Linked DNA regions of Struthio camelus. The protein of the gene in region 1 purifies or fractionates together with the protein of each later gene. This does not show direct contact. Links are inferred from orthologs where the notes say so. Each region holds a gene or a part of one and is shown on either strand. Other genes may lie near its edges. The genes, in order: SKP1, FBXO9, MTUS1 and CACYBP.

What was found.
Region 2: the proteins of SKP1 (region 1) and FBXO9 purify together in Homo sapiens (co-immunoprecipitation; 9 studies listed by BioGRID and IntAct, with this or other methods). This does not show direct contact. The link is inferred for Struthio camelus from reciprocal best matches to the Homo sapiens genes SKP1 and FBXO9.
Region 3: the proteins of SKP1 (region 1) and MTUS1 purify together in Homo sapiens (affinity purification with mass spectrometry; 3 studies listed by BioGRID and IntAct, with this or other methods). This does not show direct contact. The link is inferred for Struthio camelus from reciprocal best matches to the Homo sapiens genes SKP1 and MTUS1.
Region 4: the proteins of SKP1 (region 1) and CACYBP purify together in Homo sapiens (affinity purification with western blotting; 6 studies listed by BioGRID, with this or other methods). This does not show direct contact. The link is inferred for Struthio camelus from reciprocal best matches to the Homo sapiens genes SKP1 and CACYBP.

What each region holds. Positions count from the first base shown.
Region 1 is NC_090954.1:3,872,856-3,880,047, forward strand, and holds the start of SKP1 (S-phase kinase-associated protein 1), read right to left. Parts: upstream 3,006-7,192; 5' UTR 2,742-3,005; intron 2,095-2,741; 5' UTR 2,038-2,094; intron 43-2,037; coding exon 1-42. UniProt on the Homo sapiens protein: Essential component of the SCF (SKP1-CUL1-F-box protein) ubiquitin ligase complex, which mediates the ubiquitination of proteins involved in cell cycle progression, signal transduction and transcription.
Region 2 is NC_090944.1:34,360,539-34,368,085, reverse strand, and holds the start of FBXO9 (F-box only protein 9), read right to left. Parts: upstream 3,007-7,547; 5' UTR 2,803-3,006; coding exon 2,800-2,802; intron 1-2,799.
Region 3 is NC_090945.1:53,757,220-53,765,046, reverse strand, and holds the start of MTUS1 (microtubule-associated tumor suppressor 1), read right to left. Parts: upstream 3,013-7,827; 5' UTR 2,846-3,012; intron 1-2,845. UniProt on the Homo sapiens protein: Cooperates with AGTR2 to inhibit ERK2 activation and cell proliferation. May be required for AGTR2 cell surface expression. Together with PTPN6, induces UBE2V2 expression upon angiotensin-II stimulation.
Region 4 is NC_090949.1:5,138,278-5,145,186, reverse strand, and holds the start of CACYBP (calcyclin-binding protein), read right to left. Parts: upstream 3,002-6,909; 5' UTR 2,833-3,001; coding exon 2,812-2,832; intron 1,747-2,811; coding exon 1,551-1,746; intron 1,085-1,550; coding exon 988-1,084; intron 376-987; coding exon 276-375; intron 1-275. UniProt on the Homo sapiens protein: May be involved in calcium-dependent ubiquitination and subsequent proteasomal degradation of target proteins. Probably serves as a molecular bridge in ubiquitin E3 complexes. Participates in the ubiquitin-mediated degradation of beta-catenin (CTNNB1).

The DNA.
Region 1 (7,192 bases):
AAAAATTTCTCCATCTGAACTCTGCAGTTTAATTGAAGGCATCTACAAGAGAAGGACAGTTATTTTCACACAATATTCTGCAGACACATTACCATGCAAAGATTAGCTGCCTTAAAGCTGTAAGTTACCTTTAATATTTATACTGCTTCTTACTTACAGCAAGCAGTCCACTGTCACTCACGCATGCTCAGACTATTCACTGTTTGGATCAACAGGGCTAAATTCACTAAACCTGATGTTTAAGAAATTAATAGAAAGAAGTCTAACATTAATTCAAACAAGCCTCTCTCAAATTTAAAAGCACGAGAGAGCCATAAAATGGATTAGCATCAATAACGCTTATACTTTTGCGGTCCAACACTAGAGCTATCTTTCTCTTGAATTAACGTGGCACAAACACTTCCAAAACACCACTTGTTTTCACATCCAAACAATTGGTACTCATCATAACTAACTGAAGTCAGATCCAAAAGCAGTTTTCAATTTCTAGCTCTTGGAACTAAGTCACAGAATACTCAATGTTGGAAAGAACCTCTGGAGATGGGCTAGACTCCCCACACCTCCGCTCAAAGCGGGGTCAACTGACCAGTTACTCAGGATTGAACAATTCTCCCTCAGAAAAAAGCTTGGCTTTCTGAGGAGATTAAAAACAAAGCAAACATACACACAATATACCACCATAAGGAAGGCTTTCAGCACCTTACACTACTCTTTCAAAGTAGGAAGTTGCATCAGCACCTTGTTAGCATTAAGAACTATTAAGACGAGTAAGTATTTTAACAAAGTTTTTTGGAACAAACAGTGATACAAACTACTATACAAACAGCAGCAGACTTTAAAGATTATGCCATCAATAAACCAATAGTCAAGTTTTCCTAAAATGCATCTTTCCAGATACTCAACAACTCAAAAACAGAACTAAGGGACTTGATACAATAGTTACTAGGTTACAACTTCTGCCTGAAGCTACACATAGAAGTCTAATTGGGGATCACTGCACTTCAATCAACTGACATGAAGGACCCAGATAAACACAACTGCCTGGTTGCAAAAAGTTTTATAAATCAGATCTTGACAGGCTACTGGGATGAGTGTTATAATGCATTCCTTTACCATTCAAAACACTTCTTAGCAGCAGACCATTACAATGATTTAGTTTTCTCACAAGCTATTTGCTTTAAAAAAAAAACCACCTCTAAAGCATACATTTATAGGTGCAGCCTGCAACTAATTTTTAAAGAAAAATTCTAGGGACAAAGAATTATCATTTTCACACATTCTCCCTCTGCCCGGCTGAACATCTACACATGCTAGCTCCTTAAAGTGGTAACCTGAACTACTGAAACCGAAGGAAGCCGCACTACTTTCAGCTAACTCATGTTATCCCTTTTTAAGGGCCTTCTGTAGCTCCTCAGTACTGCTGAGCTGGGCAGTACTGCAACAAACCAAGGCCAATGGAGGCCAGCCAACATACGTTATTAAGCAGCTCACACCAGCTTGAAGTCCTCACTGCTTTAATTTCCATTTGGCAGAGCCACTAGCTAGTTAATGTTTATACAGTAATGTAACCTTATATGACAGTGCTACTTCTAATTAAGATGATGTGTGTTTTGGAGGGACACAGTCATGGCTGTTCCTTTTATATATACACATATATATTTATGTATATAATATACACACATATAAAATTAGGATTAAAACATGGTCGTGAGTTTCTGGCTTGAAGGATGCTCTGAAAAAGACATACAACTGCACATTTCAGATTTAACATCTGTTCTTGCAGCGACAGGCTAAGAGCACTCAAGAACAAATCTAGTTTGATATACGAGCTTTCTTAGGCTCGTGGTATCTAGGATTACATAATGCTGCACAACTGAGCCAGTAAGAGAGTGATGCTATCTCAGGAAATTTCACCCCCATGAGAATATTCGCATTAAGACTCTCGTTAGGGACCTGAATCAGGTAGAATGAAGCTAGCCTACTGCTTTTTTAACCCGTAACAGGTAAGGCCTTTATCTAAATTTTATTATTTCTTACCACAGAGCAGAGTCTACTGGAAGAAAATAGTCCTTTTTAACGAACTGCAATACAACTCTGGAAACAGATAGGCCACAGATAACAACACAATAGGGTGACTAAGCAGACCAGTCCCAAAAGCTGTATCTGACAGCATCAAAACACGCCGGGAGCCGGTCAAGAGACAAACCCCAATTACAGCGGCAACCGGCAGGCATAAGCCCGAAACGCAGAGCCCAGCCCTCTACAACAGCGCGACTGGGCAACTGCACGCCTCGCGAAGCTGTTCAGGATGCGTGCCCGGTCCCCCCCAACCCCTCCGTGCCGCTAGGTGAAACGCCGCGGCTATTTCCTAAAGCCACGTCCGAGACCCTCGGCTCGCGTTTCAGCTGCGCCAGAGACACCTCCGCGCGCCACGAAGGGGGGCTCGGGGCCGCCCGAGGAGCCCCAGGTGTGTGGGGGGGGGGGGAGGAGGAGAACAGGGGCACCTGCGCGGCCGGGGAGGGGCAAGGCCCGGCGGCGCCGCTCCCCCGCGCTTCCCTGAGGGCCCCGCAGCCCCGGGCCGGGGGGAGGGGGGGAAAGCTCACGCCGCCGCCGCCGCCGCCCAGGCCCTCAGCGGCCCCTGGGAGCACCGCGGCCGCTCTCCACCGGGCGGCCCGCACCGGGCCGGGCCCAGGCGGCTCCCATCAGCGGGCAGAGCCCCTCCCCGCGCCCGCAGGCCTCACCGTGAGGCGGCGGTGGCGGCGTCCGGCTCCGCGCTGAGCGAGACCTGGCGGCGGCGGCGGCGCTCCCGACCCGACTGCGGCGGCGCTTTTATGTGGCGGCGGGGGAGGGGTGCGGGAGGGAGGGGGCGAAGGACCCGCCTCCCGCTGCCTCGCAACCGCCGGGCTGCCCGCACCGGCCGCCTGAACAAAACCTCCCCGCTTTTGCTCCCGCACCGCGCAAAGAGGGGCTGCAAACAGAAGCGGGCCCGCGCCGCTTCCTTCGGGAGTGGGGAGGGCCCAACCGGAGCGGAAAGGAAGCGAGGAGGAGAGGGCGCGGGCCGGCGGGTCTTTCAGGCAGGCGGGCGGCCGCGCCAGGAGCCTCACAATAGGCCGCGGGGGCCTCGCGCGGGCCCAACGGCCGCAGCGCCCCTCCCCCCCGGCGGGGCCGCCCCCGCGTCCCTGAGGCGCCGCCGCGCCCCGGCCCGGCCCCGGGGCAGAGGGGCACCGGGAGGTGCGGGGAGCAGGCCGGGCTCCGTGCGCCAAGCGGCCTCGGCTCCGCGCCGTGCCCGGAGCGCTCGCGTCGCTTCACGGCGAGCGGCGGCTCCAAACGGGCCGCGGGGGGCAGGCGCGGCGGCCGCGCACCTCCGCGGCGCCCTGTGCGTTGCTTGTGCTTAAAAGGAGCAGCTCAGAGTCGTCCCAACCCTTCCCTCCCCCCCCCCCCCCAAATCTTTGGGTATTTTCGTGCCACTGGAGTTTCCTAACGAGAAAGTTGACAAACACAGCGCAAATACCACAGCAAGGGTGGCTTGAAGTCAAGAATTACGTGTGGTTAGCTCTCTGTTAATCGTCTTCGCGTTTCCCCTGCAAAAGCCATGACATGCGATCTTCAGTGGCCGCTCAGGGAAGCGGCGCGAGGCGCTTTGAGCTGAAAATTGCACCGAAAACCACGGAGCCCAGTGAAGGACCTGCAGAAACCGAAGCTGAGCAAGGAGCCGGTGTGCAGAGACGAGGGCTCAGGCCTATGTAAATACAGCAAAAGCGGTGCTCTGTTAGCGCAACAGCAAACCTCAGCTGTGTACCCCGACACAGGTAAGATTTTCTAAAAGGGCGAGGGAGGAATACGTGCCAGAGTGACAGGTATTAGGTTTTGAGGAAAAGAGCAGGCTGAAGTTTTTCCCTCAGCAGGGACAGCAGACAGAGGTACCCCCTCCAAGGTACCTGGAGTGGTTAGCCTGGGTGCAGCATCGCACTGCCACAGACCGTATTTGTGCCACCCCGGAGTGGCTTTTAAGTGGTCGAGATTGTCACAAACAGGGTCTGACTGTGCAACCCTGTGCTTTATTCCAAATCTTTGTTGATGTTTTTAGAACATGAGTATGCTTTCACAGCACTGCAGCATATACATCTCCAGTCTACCTGTAAGCAAAGTGGTAGCACCAGCACTGCGTTGCACTGCCGAGCACAAACACACCGTAAGTCACAGCTTGCCCTTTTCTCAGGGGCCCAGGTTACGTGCCACACTTTATTAAACAAAAAACAGTACTACTCACCAGAAAATACCTTCTAACCTAATAAACTAAAGAATTTCCTGGGAATTTAGAAACGCTCAGTTCGAGAGCTTGCTTGCAGACTTGAATCCACAGCCCAGGGTAGCAGCCCAGCCCCTAAGATACTCAGTCTTCTTTCCTTTCTTTGAGATGTGCAGCTTTGTATAAATTAACAAGGGACTTAACCGGACTTAACCTTTAGTCTTCTACTTTCACCGGAGTGACAGAACCAGTGAGAATGCAACTATTAGAAGTATTTAATCCAAAACCAGGAGCAGGTTCACTTTACACAGAGAGCCTCGATAGTGTTCCTCGGAGCCTGCTGGTTAGGGCTTGCCTCTCCAGAGAGGTGGGAGACTCAGGATTATGGATTCTCAACCAAAAAAAACCTCTTAGGGCTCAGAGGACAATTCTACATTGTGTCATATCATTCAAATAGGTTTTTAATAGTTCCTTGGAATTTTATAGAGAGAAGACTGCTTATTTTGAGAATCTTGTATGACAGGCTTCAGGATGCCGAGCAGCTCATTAGTTGTGGAGCACTTGAAGATGACTGAGCAACCTGATCTAACTCTCAAGATGGATCTAAATTCAGAGTTAACCCTGCTTTGAGCAGGAGCCTGGTCCAGAGGACCTCCAGTGGTCTCTTCTGACCTAAATTATGCTATGCTTCTCTGAAGTGTACTTCCTACCAGCTGGCTGAGCATCTGAAAGTATCAGGTGATGCTTATATATAGGAGACTTTTGATACTAACAGAGGCTCCTCAAGATCCTGGTGTTGGTAACTAGACAATCTGTTAACCATTCACTAGGACCTAATTATCTAAAAAAAGGAAGCCTCCGATCTGTGACCTTTTGATTATACCATATTTTCCTCTTTCCTCCTCAGTCACTCCATCTTGTACACCAACCCTGAAAACTACATTCACTGCATTAAAAATAACACTGCCTTTATTTCCCCCTTGCTTGTTCTTTTTTATTTACATTAAAACAGCTTGGCTAAGAGGATCAGATGACAGAAGGTGGTCTGCGGGCAACATATCTGCAAAAGCAATAATCCTAAATCCCTTTTCCTGCTGCTGCCAAAGATCAAGGTTTCCAATTTGGCTTGTGATCAGTAACTATGAGCTCACTCTCAGACTGGGAATCAGATTCCGTAGAGGGGAATGGGGGTTGCTCTCTACAGAAGAGGAATCTAAATAAGTCTCGGAGCAGGCAGAAAGCTAAATTCCATGCTTACTTATGATCTGCGAATGAGTTATAAATTTAGAGTGATACTGGTGATGACATGCTTTATATTTGATCCACCTGTTCTAAAGATGTAACAGAGAAAATTCAGTCCACAGTGGACTTTGAATTTAGCTGTTGAATTAGAAGTATGGGAAAGTTACAACAAAAACACCACACCCCCTGCAACTGGCATAAGATTGTCATAGATATATTATGATCACACTGACAGCTACCTCCCCACTGTGCCCTACATATCTCATAATGAACCTCCCAAGCTAGTCTAGATGCTCATTATCTTTGCCCTGAAACAGAAGCTGCTGCAGAGTTGATAGCCAAAGTCCTATGAGTAAGTCAATATTAGTAACACAAAAAGACCCATCCTTCACTAAACCTGCAAGGCAAAGAAGGAGATTTTTCAGAAGATGGGTGTACCAATTTCAATTGTTACACACATAGGTAATCTTTCCAGTGCAAATAATCCTGAACCGAAGATTTGCCATTCGGAGCCATATAGATAATCTTACTCCGTATCAGCCACAGATAAATTAAAAGTAAGGGCCTTTTACCACAGAGAATCCAGAGGAGGAAGGGGGGTGGGGGGAGCTTAACCCTAATGCAAATACCTGAAAAGACTGCAGCAACCAAGATCAGTGTAAGCTTGATTTAACGCTTATCAGATCCAGAAGAGCTCTGACCTACATACTTGCAGCATCACTGGGCTGCAGGCAGAAGCTAGCTGAATAGCTGCACAACTGTAGGGGGAAGGGAATTTTCACCAACACACTGGCAAAAACATGGCATTAGAGACCCGAGTGCAGCCTCCAGGACAGAGCACTGGATTTACTCCCAGAACTTGGATTCTATTCCCGGCTATTTCTCTTGCCTCTTAGGTAAAAGAGACTGTTCCCCCAGCCCAAGTGCCTCACGGTCTCCATTTCTGCAGGCAGAGAAGCTGATTTTTGTTGCTGGCGATTCACAATCTATGGAGATCACACACTGTAAAAAGACAGAGTATTTTTAATATTAGAAGTGTGCCACAGGATTGGCAAAGCCTGAGAATCAGGCTTGAAAGACTTCTGTATTTTGTTCCATCGGTAACAAGCTTGAAAATTTCATGGACCTCAGTTAGGAAATCCTGAGGATAAGGCAGCCCTGCAAAGACTGAACTCAAGGGTCCAGAGAGCACAGTTCTGGCATAGAGAGCTAGGTGCTAGAAAACAAGGGAGAAGGTTGGAGCTAAACAAGAACCTCATCTGCACACAGGGGAGATGAGACTTGCAGCAAAAACACTCCTTTTGAAGAATGTTTTTGAAAGCGAGCAGGCATATCAATAAGGCAAGGAAAATTAGGACTAGTTCACTGTAAAAACAGAAAACATCACAATTATTCGTCTGAGATAATATGGTAGAAAGATAGCGCTGGGGCTCAAAGACACATGCCACTGTTCAAAGCAACCTTGCAACAAGCAGCCAAACAAGGAAACAATTCTTGCCCCCACTACCACTCTAGAACACTCCTGAAGTATCTCCACTTCATCAAAAACTGTACGACAGTAGCATCTTAAGAATGTAGTGCTTTTCATCCAAGTTGTACCAGAGCAGTGCAAGACATTGGATACAGTGGGAGATGGGAGTCCACTTTTTAGATGAGAGTCTAATCTGACAGCGATAGACTGACAACATTCAAAATAACTAA
Region 2 (7,547 bases), on another chromosome or scaffold:
GAGTCCTGCTGTAGGTAGCCCTTGTTTCTGGCTCCCCAAGCTATCACAACCTTATTGGACTGGCTTGTCCTTTGTAAACGTCTTTTCATTGATGTCCAAGTACATTATCTTTTACAATTCATAATGCAGACAGTGTAGGTTCGTTATAGTAAACAGAAACTGCATCTGTTTCTGCACTCTGTTTTTAAGGCTGTACTTTTAAATTTCCTCAGTGGAGGAACCAGGTTAAGTTGAAGCATTCCAAAGTGCTAGAAGAGTTAAGCCTGAACTAGAAGTAAAAAACTTAGAAATGTATTTTAATGAAAAGACTCACACAGTTTTTGATTCCAGGATTTGATTCCAGGCAATTAATGCCGTATGAGTTACAGTAGTCCTATCACCACAGTATTTTAGCATCCAGCGATTACCTCTACGCTGGACAAACAGAGATAGCCAAGGAACAAGCTAGTTCTGAAGCACATGCCTTCTAAGTGCGTTATTACAACACCCTGCTCACACAAATAAGGCCTACCTCTGCCTGAGCAGAGCGCACAGATACACAGCTTCTGGTTTGCACCTGGGCTGATGTCCAGTCAGCTCTTGGTCTGGGCAGAGAAAGCCTAGTTTTATCTGCAAAATGCAGGGACTAGTGAAGTCGTCGCTAGACCAAATCAACATACTATCTTCCTGGACATAAGGGCACACCCATTAAAACTCTTAATCCATTAAGTCTGTGAATAAACTATTTTAGAGCAAAGTAGTGGTAAGATTTAGAATTTTAATTATTTAGAAGCTTGTGAAGCTGCCTGAACCCTCGTGTTTAAAGCCTTACTGTTTCAGTAACCTAATCCAGAGCCTTGATTTCTTCCCCTTGTCTCTGTGTCGACTGCCCTACTTCTCCTTCATTCCTGAGTCACAAATGGTCACGGTCTGGACCAACTGCTTCCAAAATGTCATTCAATGTCTTTTAAAACTTAATTGTCCCCTCAATCCAAGTAAAAATTACACCACTCTGTGAAGACCTGGTCCCAGTCTAAAAGCTGTCAAAAAGCATCACAAAGTTGATTGTAACTGAAGTTTTGATTTTCATTGTTACCTCTTCCATGACTGCACGTGGGATCTGAAGTCACTCAAATCAAAAACTTTTCTTCTGGCACCAGTAGCAGCAAAAGTGACTATCTAACCCTCTAGATTTACGAGTAAAGCAGTCCTTTCACATTGCTGCCGCACAACTAACTGGACTGGAAAACTGATCTCTGTTAATAATCTGTTTGCTATTTATCTGATCTGCAGAAACCCTATGGTTTTGCTTGGACAACTGAGTAAGCACAGAGGTAGTACTGAAGTACTAGCCATCATCACGAGCAGACAGCTCAGGAGACTAAATCCAAAGTGGGTTGTAATTTATAGAAGTGGATTTCTCCTTCACATTCGGACAAAATTTAAATCGTAGTTACAGTTCCTGAAGGTTACAGAATATTGTATTGTAATCACTACAACCTGTTCATCCTTATGCTATTGGCCTTCCTCCAAGTCAGCTATTATACACATCAGTAATTTCATTCTGCTTGGAAATTTAAGCTAGACTTTTGTAGTATATATTAATCAGTGCAAATTCTTCTATGAAAAAAGAGGTAGAAAATCAAGCTGCAAGATGGCAAAATGGAAACAGCAAACATCTGAGTTAGACTCTGACCTGTAAAAAGAAGTCAGCTGGGCCATTTTGATTCCGATTTGTCTGGAAAGCTTGAGATTATTTGTCCAATGCAAAGCTAGTTTGTTTTCACAGCTCAGTTTTAACTATTTACCACGTGGTAAGCATGCTGCATTCCTCACAGTACAACAAACAATGAGTTACTAAAGAACTTGGCCACTTGAGTTTAATTTCAGATCTTTGTTCCAACAGAACAAGGCTAAGATCAGAAGCAGCTCCAAGGTGACTGTCACCAGCTGAACACGCGAGCTGTAGAGAACTGAAGGATAAGCAAGGACAATATTCGCAGGCTCTAGAGAACTGAAGGATAAGCAAGGACGGTACTGATGGGTGGCTAATGTTCTTCTTGGACTTGTAAGAAAAGTGGAAATAACTCGACTTTCTGTCAGTGTGGTAGAAGCAATACTCTGTTCAACAAAAGTTTTAGTCACTGTGGCAAGGAGTTTTAAGAGCTCCTGAATGACATAACAGGGTTAACTTTGAAGGTTCCAGTTGTCATCATGGATACTTTTTTTTTTTTTTTTTGGAAATATAATAGGTAGAGAAGCAGTACTGAACCAAACAATACTCCTGATTATTTGTTAGCGTGTCTGACTTAACTGAGTGCCTGGCCCGCAGAGCCCTTTAAACTGCCAAGTAACATTATGACATCTGTTTTCGACGGGGAGGACAGAGAAAGGCTGGACGCGCTCAGCTGCAAAGACACAACGATTCGCGTTCCTCAGGGCCCCCAGATGGGTCCTAGACCATTCATCAGCCAGAACTCCTTCGGCGGAGGCGGCCGCTCTCCTCGCGACGCAGTGTGCCGGGCGGGATCGCGGCACCTGACACACGGGCGCCCCCCGGTGCGGCCGGCAGCGGCGGGACGGCCGAGGCGGGGCGGGGCGGTGCGGCCTGGGGGGGCCGGCTCCTCCCGCCCCGCCGCCCCCACCCCCTCAGCCCCCCACCGCTGCCCGGAGCGCCGCGGCGGGGCGGGGCGGGGCGGGGCGGGGCGGGGCGGGGGCCGGGCCGCCCGCCGCTCCCCGCCCCCGCCCGCACCTCAGCCCGGGCCGCTGCCGCCGCCCCACCCCCGCCCCCCGCGGCGGCAGGGCCCGGCCGGCGCTCACCATGCTGCCAGCGCTCGGGCGGCGCTGCGCCGTCCCGGGGACCTCTGCCCCCCGCTCGGTCCGTGCGTCCTCCCCGCGGGGGGGGAATTAGCAGAGTTCTCGGTCGGAGAAGCGAACCACGCAGCGGGAGAAACTGCGGGCCCGGCGTACGGCAGCCATCTTCCCGGCGAGTGAGGGGCAGGCGGACCAGGAGCAGCGGAGACACGCGACCAGACAAACCCGGCGAGGTCAGAGCGCCGCCTGACGCACGGGCCGCTCTGAGGCGCAGCGCGCCGGCCGCGCGAACTACTCCTCCCAGTACACACCACGCCCTCGCGGCCGGTCTCCCGCTGGAAGCAGCGTGGCGCATTGCCTGCTGGGGAATGTAGTCTTCGTGCCACAGCGCCGCCCAGTCCTGAAGCGGCGCGTGCTGGGCAGCAGCGCCTTTCCAGGCCAGTCAAACCCGGCGGAGGAGCAGTGCCCGCTGGGAAGCGTAGTCCCGCCTGGGCGGTGAGCGGGCCCGTACCGCCCGTCTCGGTTCGTGCGCCTGCGGCGCGTAGTAAAACCCTCTGAAGGCTGCCGGGCACGGAGTAAGGAGTAACCGTGTTTACTGCGCCGCGGCAGGCGCCACAGCGCCATTTCCAAGGGCAGGCCCGGCCCGGCGCGGCCCGGCAGAGGCGGTGGCGGCGGCCTGACGGCGTTGCGGGGCTGCAGGCCTCGCCCCCGTGCCCGCAAAAACGGACAAGCGTGCGCACAGCTACGGGGTGGGCAGGCGCTTTGAAGCGGCCCTGCCTGTTCAGCAAACATACTCAGAGACCCTTTCTTTAAAAAGTGTAAGTACCCCCTCAGCCCTACGCTAGCAGGAGCTGTGGTTTGGTGTTGGTGTAGAAGTTCCCCGTGTAATTATGATCAGGCCAGGGCTGCTACTACAGATGAACGGAGAGCAGGGTAACAAAGGAGCGGACAGTGCTGTGGCTGTGCGTGTAACAGCTTTGCAGAAGTCGAGTGGATCTCGTGGTCCTGTGTCCTCTGCCCATGCAGTTCAGCAATGCCTGAAGAGATTTATTACGTGCTCTGTGTATACCTTCTAAGGTTTTGTAAATAGGGCTGAAATAATTTTTTGTCCTTAATTTGAATTATAATCTTTCTTCAGGGAGAGGAAAAAAAAAAAACAGACACAGAGTCTGTGTGTACACCATTCTATAGTTAACCCCCTTATCCATAGCTACGACCCTAAATATTTTTAGTAGCAAAAGGAGGGGGCTGGGCTGGGCTGTGAGCTCCCTTGTGGAGTGGCTGGAAGTGACGGAAGGGGTGACTCAGGGAAGAGCGGGACTGGAGGGCCGGCAGGCGCCTGGGTCCGGGCAGGCTCCTGCAGTGTGTGCTCTGGAGCAACGGCGATGAACAGTGGGGATGAGAGTAGCGTGGCAGAGATTTTGAGATGAGGTGACCGTGAGCGCTTCTACAGCTGGACATCTCTAATGGTTCTTCTTGTTTGGGGTCAGAATCAAAGCTATTAGGCCTTTCCCGTGCCTGGATGTTTCTCTCTTCTTTTTGGAAATGAAGAAGCTGTGCCTTTAACGACAGAAAAACAGAGTGCTATAACTGTCATCAGGCTGGCTGTAAATATATGTATATGCATGTAATATGTAATAGGGATGACTTACAGCTGAATTCTCTTTCGCGTAAGTATGTGCTGCTCCAGCTGGCTTCACTGAGAGTTAGGCACGCCTGTCTGTAGTGGGGAATTTAACTCTTAATGGTATGGGTTCTCTTTTTTGTTTAACAAATGTAAATGTTCCAAAGACCAGCCTCTGTTTAGATCTGGGGGATCCAGACATCCAAGCCTTTTTGGAGCTCCATCAAACGTTTTTAAGTGAATGACTGTCTTTTTAAATAAGTGTATATTTTCACTGACATAAAATATTGCCCAAGAGGAGGAGCTGTGGCATGCTCCTGAGTTATAAAGACCAGCTCACTCTGCCTTGTAAAGCCCTGGGAAGTATCTTTTTGTTTTACTGTTAAAACCCAGATGAAAAGGAAGTGTGAAAAGAAACTAAGACTTGGGGTTATTATTACTGTGGGATGTGATGATTAATTACTTGGGGCTGAATTTTTTTCTTCCTCGTTTCCTTTCTTTCTGCCTCTCCCTCCCCTTTTCGCCCCCCCCATTAGTTAATTTGACCTTATTAGGGCCAGCGAGAGCTTTTGGTCCTCGGGAGAGGAAGGGTCAGGCCTTCTTTACAGCGGTAGAAAGATGAGAGCCTGTGAGCAGTACTATGCAGCGGAAGCTCCTGGAGGATGGAGGCCTGAGCGGTAACGCTAAAACAAACGCGTATTTGCCACTCGTTAACAATTTAAACTAGTGTTTCTGTATTGCTTGGTTGTTTAAGCTCCTCTCAGAGATAGGAGAGAGGCCAGTTATCCGGGGATGATGTCTGTAATTTTTTTTTTTTTTAATTACGATGTAATCCCGTTCAGCCGTAATCCCTGCCGCGGGGAGGGGGGGGAGGGGAGCGGCCGGGCCGCCGCCCGGGAACGGGGCTTACGCCGTGCTGCTTCCCTCTCTCTTGTTTTTCCTCCCCGATTTCCGCCCTCTTTTTTTTTTTTTTTTTTTTGGGGGGGGGGGGGAGTTAAACCCCGCGCCGTGACGGAAAGTTTGCCCGCGGGGCCGGGGCACCGTTTGCCGCTGCCGCCGGCGGCCTCCCGCCTGTGAGGAGAAGGCGGGCGGCTGCCCCGCGCCCAGCTGGGGGCCGCGGCCGCGGGGAGCCGTTGCGCAGCCCGGTGGGAGCCGTTAGAAGCGCCTCGTGCGCTCCCTACGCACCGTTTTGCTTCAAGGAGGGTTTGGGGGGGGGGAACCCCCCACGTATCTGTCGTAAGTACGCGTCGGTGCTGCAGGCGTCCGTCGGGAAGGCTGCCCGGCGCTTGGCGAGGGGATGGCGAGGGGTGGGCGCACTGAGACGCGAGAGGAAGGCGTGGGGCGTCCGGTGTGTTTGCTTTAGGTCGGCTGCGGCGGCGGGAGCGCTGGCGCGCCGAGGGGCCGCGGCGGCGGCTGCGGCGGAAGGGCGGCGGTGAGCCGTGGGCGCCCGGGCGCCTCGTGCCGAGAGCGGCTCGCCGCTGCCCGCGCCCCGCTGCCCCTGCGACCTCCGAAGCCTCTGGTGACAAGCGCAGGCGGTAGCCAGACGGAGGTCGATTTAAAGGTGCGCTTTAAGCCGCGGCTTTCTTTATGCATGCTGCTGCTTGAGACGACTGTCACCGCACAGAACAAACGTTAAAAAGCCGCTTCCTGGGTGGTTAGTGTGTTTGCGGTTCCCCGGTTTGTCGGGGGAAGAGGGTCGGTTTCGCTTTCAGTTCTCAGCCCGGCAGCGTTTCAGGCACCAGAGAGGTTCCCCGCGTGCGTATATCAATGAAAATAGTAATTTTGAATTGCGCTTGCATTCAGAAAGTCTGCTTAACATAATGAAGTAAAGCTTGCTACTAAAGGGACTTTGCTAGTTCACTTGTGTGGAATAAACTGTTTACAGGGCAGATAGAAAGGAGGATTGGGGGAATGGCTTTACAGTATTGTGAAAACAAGGCTTTTTAAATTCTGTTTAGTGTTAGCACACTCTTTTCTTCCAGTCCAAGACAATTCTGCCATTAGTATTTACATTATGGAAGCCAGAAAGTGAGTCTGACAATGTGAAGCCGATTGTGATAGTGTGAAGCTGCCTCTCGTAGACCCGTGAGCTCTGTGCGGCGGCTTCAGGGAGTCTCCACTGACGTGAAGCAGTCTGCAGGATTAAAGTTTAGCTTATTTCAATAGTTCACAATGAGCCAACTGAAGGTGATAAAGACAGAACGTAAGTGTTGCAAAGGAAATTATATTTAAAGAACAGTTTAGCTAGTAAGCTCAGCTTTGTGATGCTGATTTAGTTAACCAAAAAAGACGTTATTTAGCTTTTGTCCAGTGGACATGTGTTCTGTATCCAGTGCGTTTGTGCTTCCATAGGAGTCCTGTTAACTTCTGTGCATCTTACCGTATTTTTAACATGCGTTGCTCGTTACATCTTTTGTCATTATTTTAGATTATTTTTTTCCTCTCTAATTTTCTTACCGTCCCTTTATCCTCCGGCAGTATTTGCATTTGTCTATTTCAGTCACATTTGACAGCTGAGCTGGGATCTCGGAGATCTCAGTTACAAGTTCTCTGAAAATCAGTGGCTGCGGAAAGGATAGGGGACATTTAAATTAGCATCCCCAGTGAGGGATAGGCATATTATATTATTATATTATGTTTTCACACCTTCGTCAGGTCAAGAGACATCAGCCAAATGGTCTATCCATAATAGCTATTGCTGGTTATTACTAGCAATGTCATGTGCTGATACTGTTATGCATGTTTTGTTTTGCTGTGGCTTATCTGACATAAGGCAAGGATGCTATTCCACTTCAGAGGCACAGTCCCTTGGGAAGGGTCGTATGAACGGTAAGCCAGTGGCAGCATAATGCTCTGTGAGTTGTGAGCCATCGTATCTGTTGGGATTACAATCTCGGAACCCTTTCATTAGGGGCCTATCTGCTGAAAAATCCACAAGCCCCATCGCTTCAATGTAGTTACTGTATAAAATAATGTTTTTAGTATTAATAAATATTGCATTTCCAGACTCAGATACTGTGTGGTTTTTTATCACTGCTTGAGATTTGCAGTAAGGATCTAACTAGAGGTCTGGAAGCCCAGGCTTCTCAGTTACTATCCAGTCATTGTGCAAAGACTGAAGAGAATTCAG
Region 3 (7,827 bases), on another chromosome or scaffold:
TATGGTTGTTCAAAAGAAACTGTAGAACAAACCACCATTTACACTTCATAAACGCTGAAGAAGCACTGACTCGTTCCATTTTTTGTAAGAAACCCAGTAAAGCAAAATAAAGAGCATTAACCTTGTACAGCTTTAACTCCAAACTCCTGCACTAAGCCCGATCACTCCAGGAACTTGCCAGGTAATCCTCTGAACTCCCGGGATACATAAACTTTCAAAGCTCTTGTTTTTCCTGATATAACAGTGAATTAGGATATATCATATATTGAGTTAAGGAAACAAAATAACCTAAATAGAAACTGAGACTTCTGGGTCTAACCTATGGGGCACATGGCCACTTTTGCTCACATGGGCTCCTCAAAACAAACTGTAAAGTATCTCCGATCATAATATAGTTGTGGTACACTTTAACATGTTATGTATAAAATGTAGTATGTTATAAATTTATATATGTATAGTTATTACCATCTAGTCCTCCATTACCAGATGGCTAAATTGCATTCCATAGTTTCCATTACAACTATTTTTTTTTTTAAGACTGCTAAGATCAATAGCTATCTGAAGCTATCTGACACGCTAGATCCCAGCAGAATGCTAAGTCCTACCATTTAAAAACAAGCCTCATGATAATTGACTTGTTTTTGTAATAATCCAGCTCTATTGTAGAATCTTTGTTCTTCCTAGAAAAGAATCCTGCTTCTTTCATACATGATTGCAGACAAAAGTTTAAAACCACAGAACACAAAAGTTAGAAGTGGGGGCCCCAAGTGTATTTAAACTGTCATTACTCTGTCAGTTCTTGACTTCGTCAAGGTCTTTACATTGCATTACTGTAGATCTAGTCTTAGAACTGAAATCAGGACCTCAGAAGTGCTTAAGTAAAACATAAGGGGGTGGGAAGCCAAGCTATGAATCCAACAATAAGGCTTGCTATTTACTTAATCTAAATTGCTTAAGAAGATACCCTGAGGTCAGTTTTAAGGTGACGTCTACTACAGCTTCAGTATTTTTTCAAATATTTTCAGACTGTAGAACCTTCCCATATACAGTTATGTTTAGCGCAGTTTTTCCACCCAGTGGAGACAAAGTTATATCATCAAAACTACCTGGTTATTATAATTATTCTAACCACAGTTCTGAGGCAGTCTGATCTTAGCAAGAAATCTGAATTCTGCAGTATTTTTTAAAAGTGACTATATGAATTTTAAATACAGCTTTGCTAGCACATGCACAACTAAGCACCATTACAAACAAACAAAAACAGAGCTTAAAAAGCAATCTATTATTTGTCTACAATAATCAGCCTTAGGAGAACTAAGTGAGTCCCAATGGCCTGGAATAGAGTCGTGTCAGCCAGCCACTACAGTTCATCACCGTGGTTCCACAGGAAAACATACTACGCATCACATGTAATAAGCAATTTTTCATACCCATTTTCTTATTAAGTAATCCAGGCAGTGAACTGTGTCTGTCCTGGTCCTTATCATCCACTTTGAAAATCTGAGTGGTATAAACCAAGCAGGCCAAAGTTTTTCTGCTCCCACAAAAACAACTCTCATGATATGAAAAGCTCACCTCTCCTCACATTAGGAGAGGAGTTATTACCATGTATTAAGTTCATTTAGAAAAAAAAAAGAGATAGCAGACAACTATTAACCATAAATACCTAATCACCACAGTTCAATCATTACCTGATTTGTTAGCAAGTATACTATTAATGGCATATTTAATTAGAGCAAGTTTTCAATTATGACCAGCCTTACAACGCGGAGGAAATGACCATTTAACTGCCTTAGTTAAAGTTACCTGCCACAGCATGAGAGCTGATCTTCTAGATAGCCCCCTCATGTGGGGTTTAACCCAGCTGTACTGTCCATTGCACCACAGGAGTAAAATAAATAAATAAAACCAAAGCACAGCCTTAGTCCCAGTGGCAGACTGTCAGAGCTGCGTCGGAAGCAAGAACCTGCTCAGCCCAGATGCTGAGAGGATGCTTGATCTTTGCTGTGGTCATGAACTTACTTCATGATTCACGTGATCATGAATCTACTTCCCCCCCCCCACCCCTTCTTTAATCTGCACTCTCTCCTTGGCCTGGGAACAATGGTATCAAGTTTAAGCTCAATGCCCTTTTCAAAGGCTAGCTCTCCTGCCCTTGCCAACCTTGTGTTGTAAAAATAGAAGCAGACGGAGGAGCAAGCATTCAAGATATTCTTTTAAAATTGCAAGTGTCTGAACTCCTGCTGCAGGACTTGCTCAGTGCAGGTGCACGACAGCAATCAGTACTAGAGTTTACACATTTCAGATACAACACTGGTGCTCAGCTAGTTAAAAGCCGCACCGGCAATGTGGAATTTCGGCTTTTTTTTTTTTTTTAAATTTGTTTAAACTAAATACCCCCACCCCAACTTCCAGCAGCGACTTCAGCCCGTTAAGAAAGGCTTCGGCAGCGCGCAGTAAAGAGGCTGCTGCAGCACCTGTGCTCCGTAACGGGGTTAACGCTCAAACGCCAGTTGCACCTTCCGGGAGAGCTGTGCACGGTTAATCGGGGGGGGGGGGGGGTTAAAAAAAAAAAAAAGAAGAAGAAGAAGAAGTACGAACCCTTTTTCCATTAAGTCTCTGAGGGGAAGCAGCAGGGACCCGTTTCTCTGCCCACGAGCCCAGCCACAAAACTTGAGGGACGGAGGGAGCCGGGCCCACGCCGCGATGCGCGCCTGAACGCCAGCCCGCGCCCCGCCGCGGCCGCCCCGTTAAACGGCCGCGCCCGCGCACCGCGCCGGGGGGGGGGGGGGGGATAGTTACGGAGAGATTTAAAGTGCGGGGGGGGGGGAAAGTAGGTACTTACGCCGGTGCTTAGGCGCCCCCCTAAGCGTAGGGCTGGGTTACGCAGCCAGGGGAAACCTGACCCGCGCTGCGCCGCCAAGCTGCGCCGCCGGCCCCTCCGCCCCCGCGGAAGCGCGGGCACCCGCGGAGCGCCGGCGCCTCCGCTCCGCTCGCCGCCGCGCTGCCCCTGCGCACGTTGCGGCCGCCCCGCGCCTCTCGCCGGAGCCGCCCCGCAAGCGGCTCCGCGCCCCCTCCCGGGCCCCGCCGCCGAGCTCCCGCCCGCTCGCCCGCTCCGGCCGGGGCCGGTTCGGACCGGTCCGGCCGCACCTGCGCCAGCCCCGCGGGTTGGGGGGGGAAGCTGCTCACCCCACCTCTGCCCTGCCTCACCTGGCATCGGGCTGCGGACCGGGCCGCTCCCGGGCGGCGCTTTTGTCCGCCCCGGGCGGGCGTGGAGAAACGGCGGAGCCGGGGCGGGGGGGGTTCCCGGTGCGGTGCGGGGAGAGGCGCAGGTTGCTGGCAGGGAACTGGGCCAACAACTAAAAATACCGCGGTGGGCCGGCTGGCACAGCTCCCCCGAGGGCGTCCCCCGTGCCGGGCTCTGCGGGCGGCGGGCCAGGCCTTCCCTCCGCGGCCTGGGCCAAGGCGGGTGACTGCCGGCCGGACGCCGCCGGGCCCCGCTTCGTGCCTCCTGCTGCTGCCCGCGCGAAGCTGGCGACCTTGCCGCACCTAGTCCAAGGTGCGCTAGTTTAAAATTGCAGCTGATGACTGCAGAAACCTCTTTTCTTTTATTCTGAAGCACGTGTGGCCTTGGCATACCACGCGCGGGGTGAAAAGTCGCGGCATCTGGCAAGGTAGCCGCGCTCTGCCCCAGCCTCGTGGCCTGCCCGCCGGTAAATGATGAGCGCGGCGGGTCAGGTCGGGCCACGTTCCCGGCCGGCGGCCTCGCTGGGCCTTCGCACCTGGCCCGGCCAGGCCCGGCCCGTCGCTCCCGGCTGCAATGAGGGAGCAAGAAAATGCAAATTGTTGCTTGGGGGCAGCTGTGGGCTGTTGTGTGTTTGAGGTCAGCGTAATGGGGTGCAGCAACGCTGGAGCAATGCTGTGGCTGTAAAGGGAGAAGTTCTCAGGAAATTCTGACTCAGTTTTGGCGTGCGCTGTGTGATGTTGGACATGCACTAATCTTATAGTTTATGCTTATTAAGAATGAGACTGCAAATACTACGCATCTACAAAGGGGTTGAATTTAATAGTAACTGTTACAGCTTTAACTCCACCTTTTACCACTCTGTCCTCAGTATTACTTTATGCCACTTTTTGGTGCTTAAATTCCTGGCTGTAAATGGCCTCTGCTTCCCTCCAGGATTTGTCCACTTGTGGAACTGTATCAAACAACCTAACTCTACTAACGTCCTGCGCCTGAAGTCACCTCCTGCGCTTGAAGGACCCTGGGGAAAGGGGAGGGAGAGAGCGGCCACATTTGGGAGGAGTGTTGTGCCTAAAAGCAAATGGGAGTGAAAAAAGTTGCCTTTTTGTCAGAAATGATCCTGTTCGCGTGAAGGACACCAGATGAACAAATCCTTCATACAGTCTTAATAAACATCACTTGTTTTCTTGGGAGGACTAGTCTCCCTCTCCAAGGAGAAGTGGATAAAATTTCCCTGTAGAAAGTCCTCACTTGACAGGAAGGAGAGGCAGAGGAAGGGAGCACAATTTCTGGCCTTTATCCTAGGTGAAAGAAGAGGGATGTCATTCCTAGGCAGGCTCGCGGGATAGTACTGCTCTCTAGCAGCCAGTGTTTCTTGTGACCTAAGGTTGCTGTAGCGTACCTTGAAGTATGCGTGCAGATGTGCAGACAGCCTCTGCCCGTCTTTGTGAGCTGTGCTACTAAAACTTCTCCTCCTAAAACATGTCCTCATGGGGTCAGAGGGATGGCAGAGTTCAGGCTTTCTCGGAGGGGTCCTGTGGGTGTTGATGGTGAAGGTACCTGTCATGACAGGCCCCCTGACGCCACGGGGTACCCACGGGGGATCTGCCACAAAAGCAGTGCCTTCAGCTGGGTGTTCTGCCCGTAACAGGAGGCAGAGGGGGAAAATCTTTTACTCATCTTTACAAAGCAGAAAGGTAGCTTCTGCCAACGTAAAGTCCAGGGAGCAGAAGCTTTCAGATGCCAGTAAGGCTAGGGAAACTTACCCTCCATGTCTAATACACAAAGACATAGCAGCCTTGAGGCTCGTGATGTATCTGTATTGGAATCTGTATCCAGTACAGATTTGGTGACTCCACGTGAAATTCTTTCTTGACATCATTGACATTGATTCCCTGCCTCTTACCCCCCCACATTACTGTCTACAGTTGCTGGCTATTTATATGTGTGATTAATATGATTCAGAATTAAACATGCCAGGAAGACACTGCATCTTTCAACCTAATAATTAAAAAAGGAGTATAGCATGATTACTTGGTTTTGTCACCACATGAAAGACAACTATTTATTTTTATTGTGGTTAACTTAGTAGTAGCAAACAAAATATCTTATTCCTATCCATGAAAAGCAGTCTTGCCCATCTTTATGGGCTTCATCCAGCGCGTGCTGGAGTCAGTGGTATTATGCACAGGCTTTCGATTAGCATCTGACTGCAAATCTAGTGAGCTGGATTAGAGCATGAGTGCTCTCACACTACAAGACTGAGCATTTTACATGGCTTTGACACCCTGAGAAGGAGTAATACCAATCTTTAGTGAGGGTCTGTATGGGCAGTGCTTCAGATCTTGGAAGGCAAATCCTCTGGTATTGTCGTTGAAGCCCTCTGGCAGAAGCCCTCTGCTGTGGCTGGACGTGTGGAGAGAGGAACATTGTGAGATTTTTGTGGTGCCATTAGATTACTGCTCATGTGAAACTGAGTGATAGATAGTTTACATTGTCAGCCTTATAGCAAAGTTCACAGGCATGGCTCCAACTGTATATATCAAGGCTAATCTCAGTTACAACTTAAAAATGCCTCCGTCTTTGTCACTGTAGGGGTGGTCTGGAAAATATCGACTGATTGCTACAGCTGAAAGCTTGCCACGTTAATCGTTATCCCACTGAAGATCACAGTTCATTCAGCGTACCCTGCAGCCATTCCTCTTTGATGGATCTCTCATTTTTCCTAGTTTTGTAGTTTGTCTAGGCCTTTTGTACGGCAACAATCAAGGGGGGAAAATCAATTGTAAAAGCAAAGATGACAACTGGATTCTTTTAAAGTGAGATATTAATGAGGGAGTTTGGGAGCAATTATACTGGCATTCCTATAAAATCTTCCCACCTTCAGCTTGGCTGGAATTCAGGTAGACGATGACACGTGAAATCACTACATGGGGGAAAAGTTCATCAGATCCCATCAAAGATGGTTTCAAAGAAATGGCCAAGGACTCTCAAGGAAGGAGAGGGAACTAGAGGTGCCATTAAGGTCTGTATAATTTACATTTTTTGCATCAGTTTGCTCTTGGAAGTCCCTTTCCTGGAATTCTAATCAAAAGCTGCTGGCAAAACAGTTGTTCTGATCAAAACCTCGTGACAGCCCTTTCCTTTGCTGCTAAGTAGCCGTGAAATGACTTTTGCTTCTCTGCTTTTTTTTCCTCCTTGCTTCTTCTGATCAGTGCACTGCAATTTTCATAAATGTAGGATCAAGAGTGAAGTGTCATGTCTCTTAATGTTGAAAAAGGAGGGAAAGAAAGGAGAAAGGGAGAAGAGGATTGATCCTAGAGAAGAAAGGTAAAAGCTCTTAGGTAAGGAAGAGGAAGGGAAGACAGAAGATAACGTGGGGGAAGGAATCCAAGACTGCAAGGAGGCATAAAGCAGGTGAGAGAATTAGAACAGATCAAGGGATAAATGAAGTTATAAGTCAAATGTTAGCATAGGTGAGGAGGGGAAAGAATGGAGCAACATTTTTCTCTCTCTTTAATATTTATTTTTTTCTTGTCAGTAAGAGTTAATAGTAGTTGGGGTTAGGCTCCAAGCAGTAGCTCTGAAGGGCCCTGGAAAGAAAAGCTACCCGGAGATAGGGGTATAGCTGACTTTAATGATGTATGTGATTGCAGCAGGTGTAAATACATTGAATTAGTACCAGGTAACTTGATTGTTAATAGTAGTGAAAATGCAGCAGCATAGGATGGCCAAGTCTGTGTCTTGTTGGTATCCAGGGAAATGGGTGGTTTTGAATAGGTTACTAGGGAACTCACTTGGCTTCTGCTCCTGACTTTTAATGGCTACTTGTACACTTTAATATTACATGGTAATTGGCTAAAAAAGCAGTCTTGTAACAGGGATTGAAATTCAAATTTCCCTGCTCCCAGCTAGGTACCTTAATTGTTGCATGCAAAGTGATGCTTTGCTTCCCTAGTCCAATGAACGTGGATTAGTTTGTTCAGAATAACAGCAGGCACAATGAAGGGTATTCCTCCCACCTAGCCTCTGGCCTGGTGACAGGGATTTTCCTGGGAAGTGAGATAGGGATTCAGTGCTGTTCTTGGGACTCTTCGGGAGTGAGGCCTTACTGCGGAGCTGCTAAGGGAGTACCTCTCCCCCCTCCTGCTCTACTTTTGAGAGACGCTAATGTCTAAGAGTGGACCTGGCCCCAGCATAACGCCAGAATTAAATGCTTTAGATGAACTGAGAAAGCTGGCACGTCAAGTGCCTTCTCATGCTGTCTGTTGGAGATTTTGGTCCCAGGTACCTAATGGTCCTGCTGCAGTAGGGAGCAGGGGCACTAGGCACAGAGCTGCAGGCTCCTGGCTGGGAAACTGGTGCCAAAATTTGGCACTTAACACTGCAACATCTAGAGCTGTTGTGGATTTAGTCTGTGATAATGCTTGTCTTTTAGCTGTAATTGGGAAAACAGTGTTGTGGATTTGTTCACGTTCACTGGTTTGGCCTAGTTCTCAGCATTGCGAGGCTAACTTCTGTCAGATAAAATTCCAGCAGGCCCTGGATTAATGTACTCTGTTGTGATCTTTTTTGAGGTGGGG
Region 4 (6,909 bases), on another chromosome or scaffold:
ACCAATTTCTGAAATCCTGTTCGAGAGCTATCAACAACGCTTCAGTATCTGGCCGCGATCTTTTGAAACAGAAGCCCAAGGATTCCAGAAAATAATTCTACAATTATTACAACTACAGATTAATGAGAGTCACGTTTACACTGAAGAGACTTTACAGACAGAAGGGAGGGACTGCAGGTTAATGCTCAATCTGTTGAACTGGAGTCAAGCTACGAATACAGAGATATTCAGATTCTTTACAAAGTACCTACAAGAGAAGAGGTATGCTGACTGACCTTTCTAGAGCTGCCTTCCACAGAGATGGGTTTCAGAAGGTTGTTGAAGGTCATGGTGTAGTTCTTCCCATTCAGATTCTTCACTAGCAGATCAAATGACCTAGAGCCAGAAGGTGAGGGGAGGAAAGGCACAAACAAAAATTCCAAGCAGTGTAAGACTATTCAGCCCTGTCATCAAACACAACGTCTGAAAACCATTAAGCAGGCACGTTTCTTGGGAAAGCAAGCCAACAGGCTTTCAAATCTTCTATTGGATTTAATACTGAGCACTTAAAAGGACTTATGCAGAGTTCACAACAAATCAAGATCTTTAGCATTCTAACATCTACCTGACTGAGCTCCTATGACCCTGGAAAGGAGGGAGGTTCATTTAATCCACATTTCAGTTCTACCACCATCAAAAAATAGGTCTAACGTAACATATGCTATCAAGCATGATGAGGCATAAGGAGCATTTGTAAAATTAAAATACTCTGACACCCACTAAGGAGAGCTATATGTAAGTGTATGTACTCAAGTACTATTAAAAGTTAATACTTTAATAAGCAATTAATTAATAAGCTGATACTTTTAATAAAATTAAAGTTAAAAAAATAAAAAAAACACGACACAGCAACCCAGAGCAAAATTCAACACAACACATTCCTGCATTTCAGATAATGCTCTACACCCACGCTCTCCTTCTTGGCATGGGGCAAAAATATGAACTCACCTCTCTGTGAAATTCACCTGCACATTCTCAGCTGGGAGCTTCTGGACTCCACTTAGAGAGATGTAAATCTTAATAAACTTATCTGACTGATCCCAACCTGCAAGTGAGAAAGATAAAGTTCTAGCTTTCCTCAGAAAAGTCAGAAGTAGATGCCTGGTTTTCCTGCCGTTTCCTTGACCCACTTTTTCTTATACTTTCCACGTGACAAGTACCTTAAGCAATTCCTTCTCCTTTTACCTACATGGCGAGCAGAGAAGCCAAAGCTCAGTCTTTCGTTCTTGCTAAGCACTAGGCAATAGAAAAATACTAGTAGGTGCATCGGGGATCATTAACGTGTTCCTCCAGTAAAGAAAAGCTATCAGACAAACAGAACTGTGGCTGGGACAGAGCAGTAAGCCTGTAAGTAAGTAGCTTTTTGGGGGGGGTCTGTGGTGTGGTATAAACATCTGAGAATGTTTCTCTGTAACGCTAAATGGCAACTAAGACTCACACTTAATACCACCCTGCATTCTATTCAAAACAGAAGCCTGAGCTCTAACGTTTGTGTAGAAGAGCAATCCTACCATAGTTGTTTATTTTCACTGTATACCCTCCCAGCGATGACTTTTCTTCTTCTCCTGCATCTGCTTTCAGCTTTGGTGGAGGCTGATTCTTGAGTTCTATCTCTAGCTTGTGTTTTTCAGTCATCAGGACATCACGAAGTCGCTTCCTCGTGGTTTTCGTAAGCAATTCTTTAACCTCTTCCAAATCTTTCTGTAACTGATTTAAGAATAAAAGATCGTGCACGCATATTAGATACCCCTCTTTCTACTCAGGGTTCACACCACTGGGCTCTTTCACTCCTATTAGTTTCAGACACAGATTCAGCAAACCAAGTTACACTTCCCTTTATACCCTCCTCAGCGTGAAACCATCTGTCCCTTACTCCACGGCCACTAAGGTTTTAACTGCTCAATTTCAATCTTCAAGCTTCGTTCAGTTAAAAAAAAGGGGAAATTAATAAAAGTTTAACGTTTGGAACACCAACAGGTTTTGGATTTTGCTAAAAACGTACTGCCCGATCTCAGACCTATAGCACTGAGCAAATATTCAGACGGAAGACTCAGAAAAAGGTCAAATGGGGGTAAACGTCTCTTATGCCCCAGATTACCAGCCACTGAGCCCTTGCAGCCACATAAATCAAAAGCAACATCTCACTGTACCTCATTAACCTACTTTCCCCCTCAAAATAAGATTCTCTATTCTAAGATCTAACAAATGTAGAACAATAGCATCAAAAGCACTGAAACTCTCAATGAGGGGAGACGACAAGAGGTTGCGCTTCCTTTTTAAGTGACCGATTTATTGTAGAATTGTACGATTCAAGGAAGGGGCAGACATACTCAACGTGATAAACATCTGATCCTCAGGGATTTCTGAAACACTAGCTTTGCTCAGGAGAGAGGAATATTACAATAAATAACCAGACCGGCACAGAAACGTGTTTTTTTTTTTTCTCCCTCCATGTTTGAAACTTCTCGCGTTTCTTTAACTTGAGAGCGCTCGAATTAATTGCACGTTGGCGCAATCGCAGCTCAACCGCAAAAGAGAGGCGCCCGGAACCCACCTGGCAGACACCTAAAGAAAAACAAGAGGTTCCGCGCATCCCCCCCCCCCACCCCCAAGGCTTCGGGAAAGAGGGGCAGCGCCAAAAAATTAAATAATTAAATAAATAAATAAGTAAATAAGGAGCCGCACAGTTGTGCTGAGCCCCGGCCCGGGCCCGGGGCCGCCCAACGCCGCTCGCGGCCCCTCAGCGCGACGCCCGCTCCCGCCGCCCCTCACCTCCTCGTGCGCGGCGGCCATGGCGCGGCGCGTGCCCGGCGCTGCTGCCCCCGCGGCGGCGGCGGCGGCTCCGGCTCCCACCGGCCCCTCTGGAACCTTCCCGGCCTCGCGCCGCCGCGTCCCCTCCCCCCGCCCCGCGCTCACGCGCCGGAAACGGCGTCACGCGCCCTCCCCCCCCCCCCACCGAGGCGGCCTCGCCAACCCCGCCCCTTCCGCCTGCGGAAGGAGAGGGGCGCGCCGCTGTCGGCCCCTGTCACTGGCGGACGGGCGTTGCTATGGTGACACGCCGACGCGTCAGGCGGCGGGGCGGGGCTGCGCGTGCGCCCCGTTGCGTGGGGGGAGGGGCGGGGCTGGCGCGGCCGTTACGCGGCCGTTAGCGACCGGCTGAGGGCGCGCCGCCCTGACGGCAGGAAGCGGGCGGTCAGGGCTCCGCCTGCCGCTGCTGCTGCCGCCTGGCGCTGCCGCCTGGCGCTGCGGCGCTGGGAGAGCCACCCTGGCGGTGGCTGGGGGCCGGGGAGGCAGCGATCTGAGAGGCGGGGCGGTCTCTGAGGAGGCTGGAGGCCGCGGCCGGTGGGCAGAGTTCGTGGCGGGCTGAACCGGCGGGCCGCGCTTCTCCGTGCGCCTTCGGCGGGCTGCCCGTACGCGTTGTGTGCCCGGCTGGGCAGGGCCTCGCCGAGTCTCTGTCTTGACATCAGGATTCCTCCCTTCCGTCTGTGTTTAGTGTAATTGGGAAACAGGACCGTAAACAGCCTGCCTAAATATGCTTTTTCTGAATATTGCAATCTTTTTTGTAACCCTGCGCTAGGTAAGGAAGTCTTTCATGTACGGAAAACAGCCACATGTGCTGGTGTGCCAGAATCTCTTTAAGTGCCAGTAAAGCTTTCAAGCTCCTGCCTGAAGTGCTTGCTGGGCTCTAATTGGCGTTGGTGAGCTTTTGTATTAAACACTGTTCTTTGGTTTGTCTTTTTTTTTGAGCAACGGTGCGCTCTTTTATAGCTGCGCTATGTTAGCTGTGGGCACATAAAAGGATCAGGCCAGTTAAACCGAGCCCCAGAGTGCTGTTTGCATAAAACATAAAAGCGTCAACAGGCAGGTCACCTCAATGCCAGCATGATGCCAACAGCAGCAGCTCGTCTCTCTCTCTTTGCCTTACCCGACTCAGGCCAATGTTTGGCAATGAGGTACTCTGAAAAGAAAGTAACCTAGAACGTATGCAGCCTTTGTAATAAGTGAACCTCATCAATTTACAGTGCACCAAAGGTTGGAAAGCTTGCGTGTTGTAAATGGCAGAGGTTGTCTTGTGCGTGTGTTTAGGAGTAAGGAGCTGACATAAACTGAGTCTGGAACTGCAATGCTTTGAATAGCTTTTTTTTTTTTTTTTTAGATGGTTGAGTTTTTTGTTAATAGTTAAGTCTTTCTTCTGGAAATACTATGCAGCTTTATGGTAAGGGTTTTCAAAAAGGAAATTACCAACTATGAATCCTTTTGTGATTTTTAGACTCATCTATAGCAAGCTACTTACATTCATGCTGAGTTTACAGAGTCAAAGATTATCAGTGATACAGAACCCCCTACCGCCAGGAAGTAGTAGTTGGAAGCCAGAAATTTTGTGGTGAGGGTTAGTGATTATATTCTCATTAAGAGGCATCAACAAGTTAGCAACCACTTCAATTGCAATATGGAGTCAATCATTGTGCCTTTAGAAAAGAGGTGAAATGACCTTCCTGAGTATTACAACCTCAGTTACAGTTGGTCCAGGGAGAAAGTATTTCATGGTGCCTCTCACCACCTTTAGTAAATCAATTAATAATTAAAAAAAAAAAAAAGGCTTTTGTATTCCCAGGTCCCAGTCGGGCATTAAAATTTCCCAGAAAAAAAGAAGCTGATGGAAATCTTTCTATAAGTAGGTAAGTGGAAGAGTCAACTTTTGCCTCCAAATGTCCTCATAAAAATGGGAACACAAAGGAGTATACAATCACTCAGTGCTGAAAAAGTAGATTTCTCTGTAAGAGAGGTTGCCGGTTTTAACATTTAATTTACTGAGCTGAGAAATGCCAGCTCACTCTCCAATTTATGGGCTTAGGGGTTTTTTTTCCTCTCCGCTTCTAAGGTAAACATAAATAATCTGTGAATGTTTTTTTTTTTTTTTTTTTGCAGGGGATTGGTGGGGGTAGGTAAGAGGATATTAGATCAGAGATTCATAGAAAATCTGAAGTTGAGGACTTGCAAGGCTGTATGTCACAATGCAATGTTAATAGCATATACTGAAATGTTGCTCATACCCCTCTGGTCCAGTGCTTCAAGAGCTGCAGCTGAGAAATTGTCAGGAAAAATCTCCACGACTAACTCTGTAGTTTTGTTTAATTTTCACAGAACTGAGCGTCATCCTGTAGATCTTTAGCAATAGCATTTGAAGTTGGGCTAGTGGATTTTTATCTGGAAATTACAGTATGGGCAATTGGAATTTACTTCCGTGGCATGGTTATTTAATTTGTTGAGAGCAGTTGCATATTCAGGAATTGTTTCCTTATGATCTTTCTGCTGAGCAGCCACTAAGACAAGAAGCAGCTTTTCTGTGATGTTTCCTGAACCACTAATCTCCGAGTTTTTCCCCTCTCAGTTGTGGTCTTGCATTAGGACATTCTCATAGCTTTAGAATTTAAATTGATATTGCTTTATAATTTAATTTCTGGATAGAGGAGAAAACATGACATGTTTCACCAATACATAAATGCATGTGCAAGTGAGCCTGTAATTCAGTCGCTTGCTAGGCTCTTTGAAAACCAGTGCTTATTTTGTATCCTTAAGTCACGAGCCTTTCAGTGCCCATGGCACTCCCATTGAGTGGCAGCTTACAAGCGGAAGAGTGTATCTCTTGTCTCATGTAAAAACACATTCCACACTGCTCTGCATGAAGCTGCAGTAGCATCCAGATGCTGCGTTCCCCCTTGTCGGAACGAAGAGAAAGCCTGACAAACTTAGTTTTCTGTGCACGTTTTTACAAGTTGCCAAGTGACAGGTCTTCCTCTCAGGAGAGAAGAATCGGAACAGTTCCTGAGCCAGGAAGGGGAAAAAGGACCTTGAGGCGGATTGGTGGGAATAGTCAAATTCAACCGAAAGACCCGGATCCAGTCTCTCTGGATGACAAAACACTGTGCAGTATATTGTTTTTCAATGGTCATTGGCTCTAGGGACAGAAAAGAGAGCATCTGGAAGGGCTACGAAAGGATGTTTGGCCTCCTTAGCTAGCCTGCAGTAGCCGTTCCTTTTGTCTGTAGGAACTGATGGAAACTGGTGGCAAACAGTCTTTGGACGGTGATGTGGAAGTTAATCAAAAGCAATATATTTTCTGGTAAACTAATTGGTTAAAAATATTTATCTTCAGCTTTTCTACCCTTATGGCTTCATATCTTCTTCTCAAGTGCTGTGTGTTTTTCCAGTTATGCAGGCAGCAGTGGCTGTTCGTCTAAATAGGAAAAAAAAAATCCCTGTAACAACTCTTATCTATTGTTCACATGGAAAACTGGTTTTATAAAGTATCTGAATTCTTCTAATTGCTAACTTTAATGAATACTGAACTTTTATTCTGTCCTGTTCTTGCCTAGCCATGCTTCTGTTATAAATATGTTTTCTGTTTCTTGCTGGTACCTTCTGCTCCCTGATTCTTCTCTTCCTCTAGACGTGTCATTGCTCGCTTGCCTGTTTCTCTTGTGTACCTCCACTGAAGCATCGGGTCCTTAAGAACAGCTCGTATTTCCCGATCTTTTAGATCAGCAGCCTTCAGGGGAAGCATATTGATCAGTATGTTCTCTGTGCTGTAAACTTCAGACTAACATTTGGAAAAGAGGACCCACGTGACCTATTAGCTCTCCCACATAATGTCTGTCAGATTCTTGTGGAACAGGTTGCTTCTTGTGAACAAGGACATTATACCAACAGTTTGAAATTAGCTTTGTAACACTCGCACGTTTTGGATGACTAGGCTGCTAAATCGCTGTGTTTTAGTACAGTAGTGCTGCTTGAAAATAACCAACTTGAGTAAACTATGTCTGAAGACCTGGTACAGTAGTTATTTATTACTACAGACACAGTCAAACT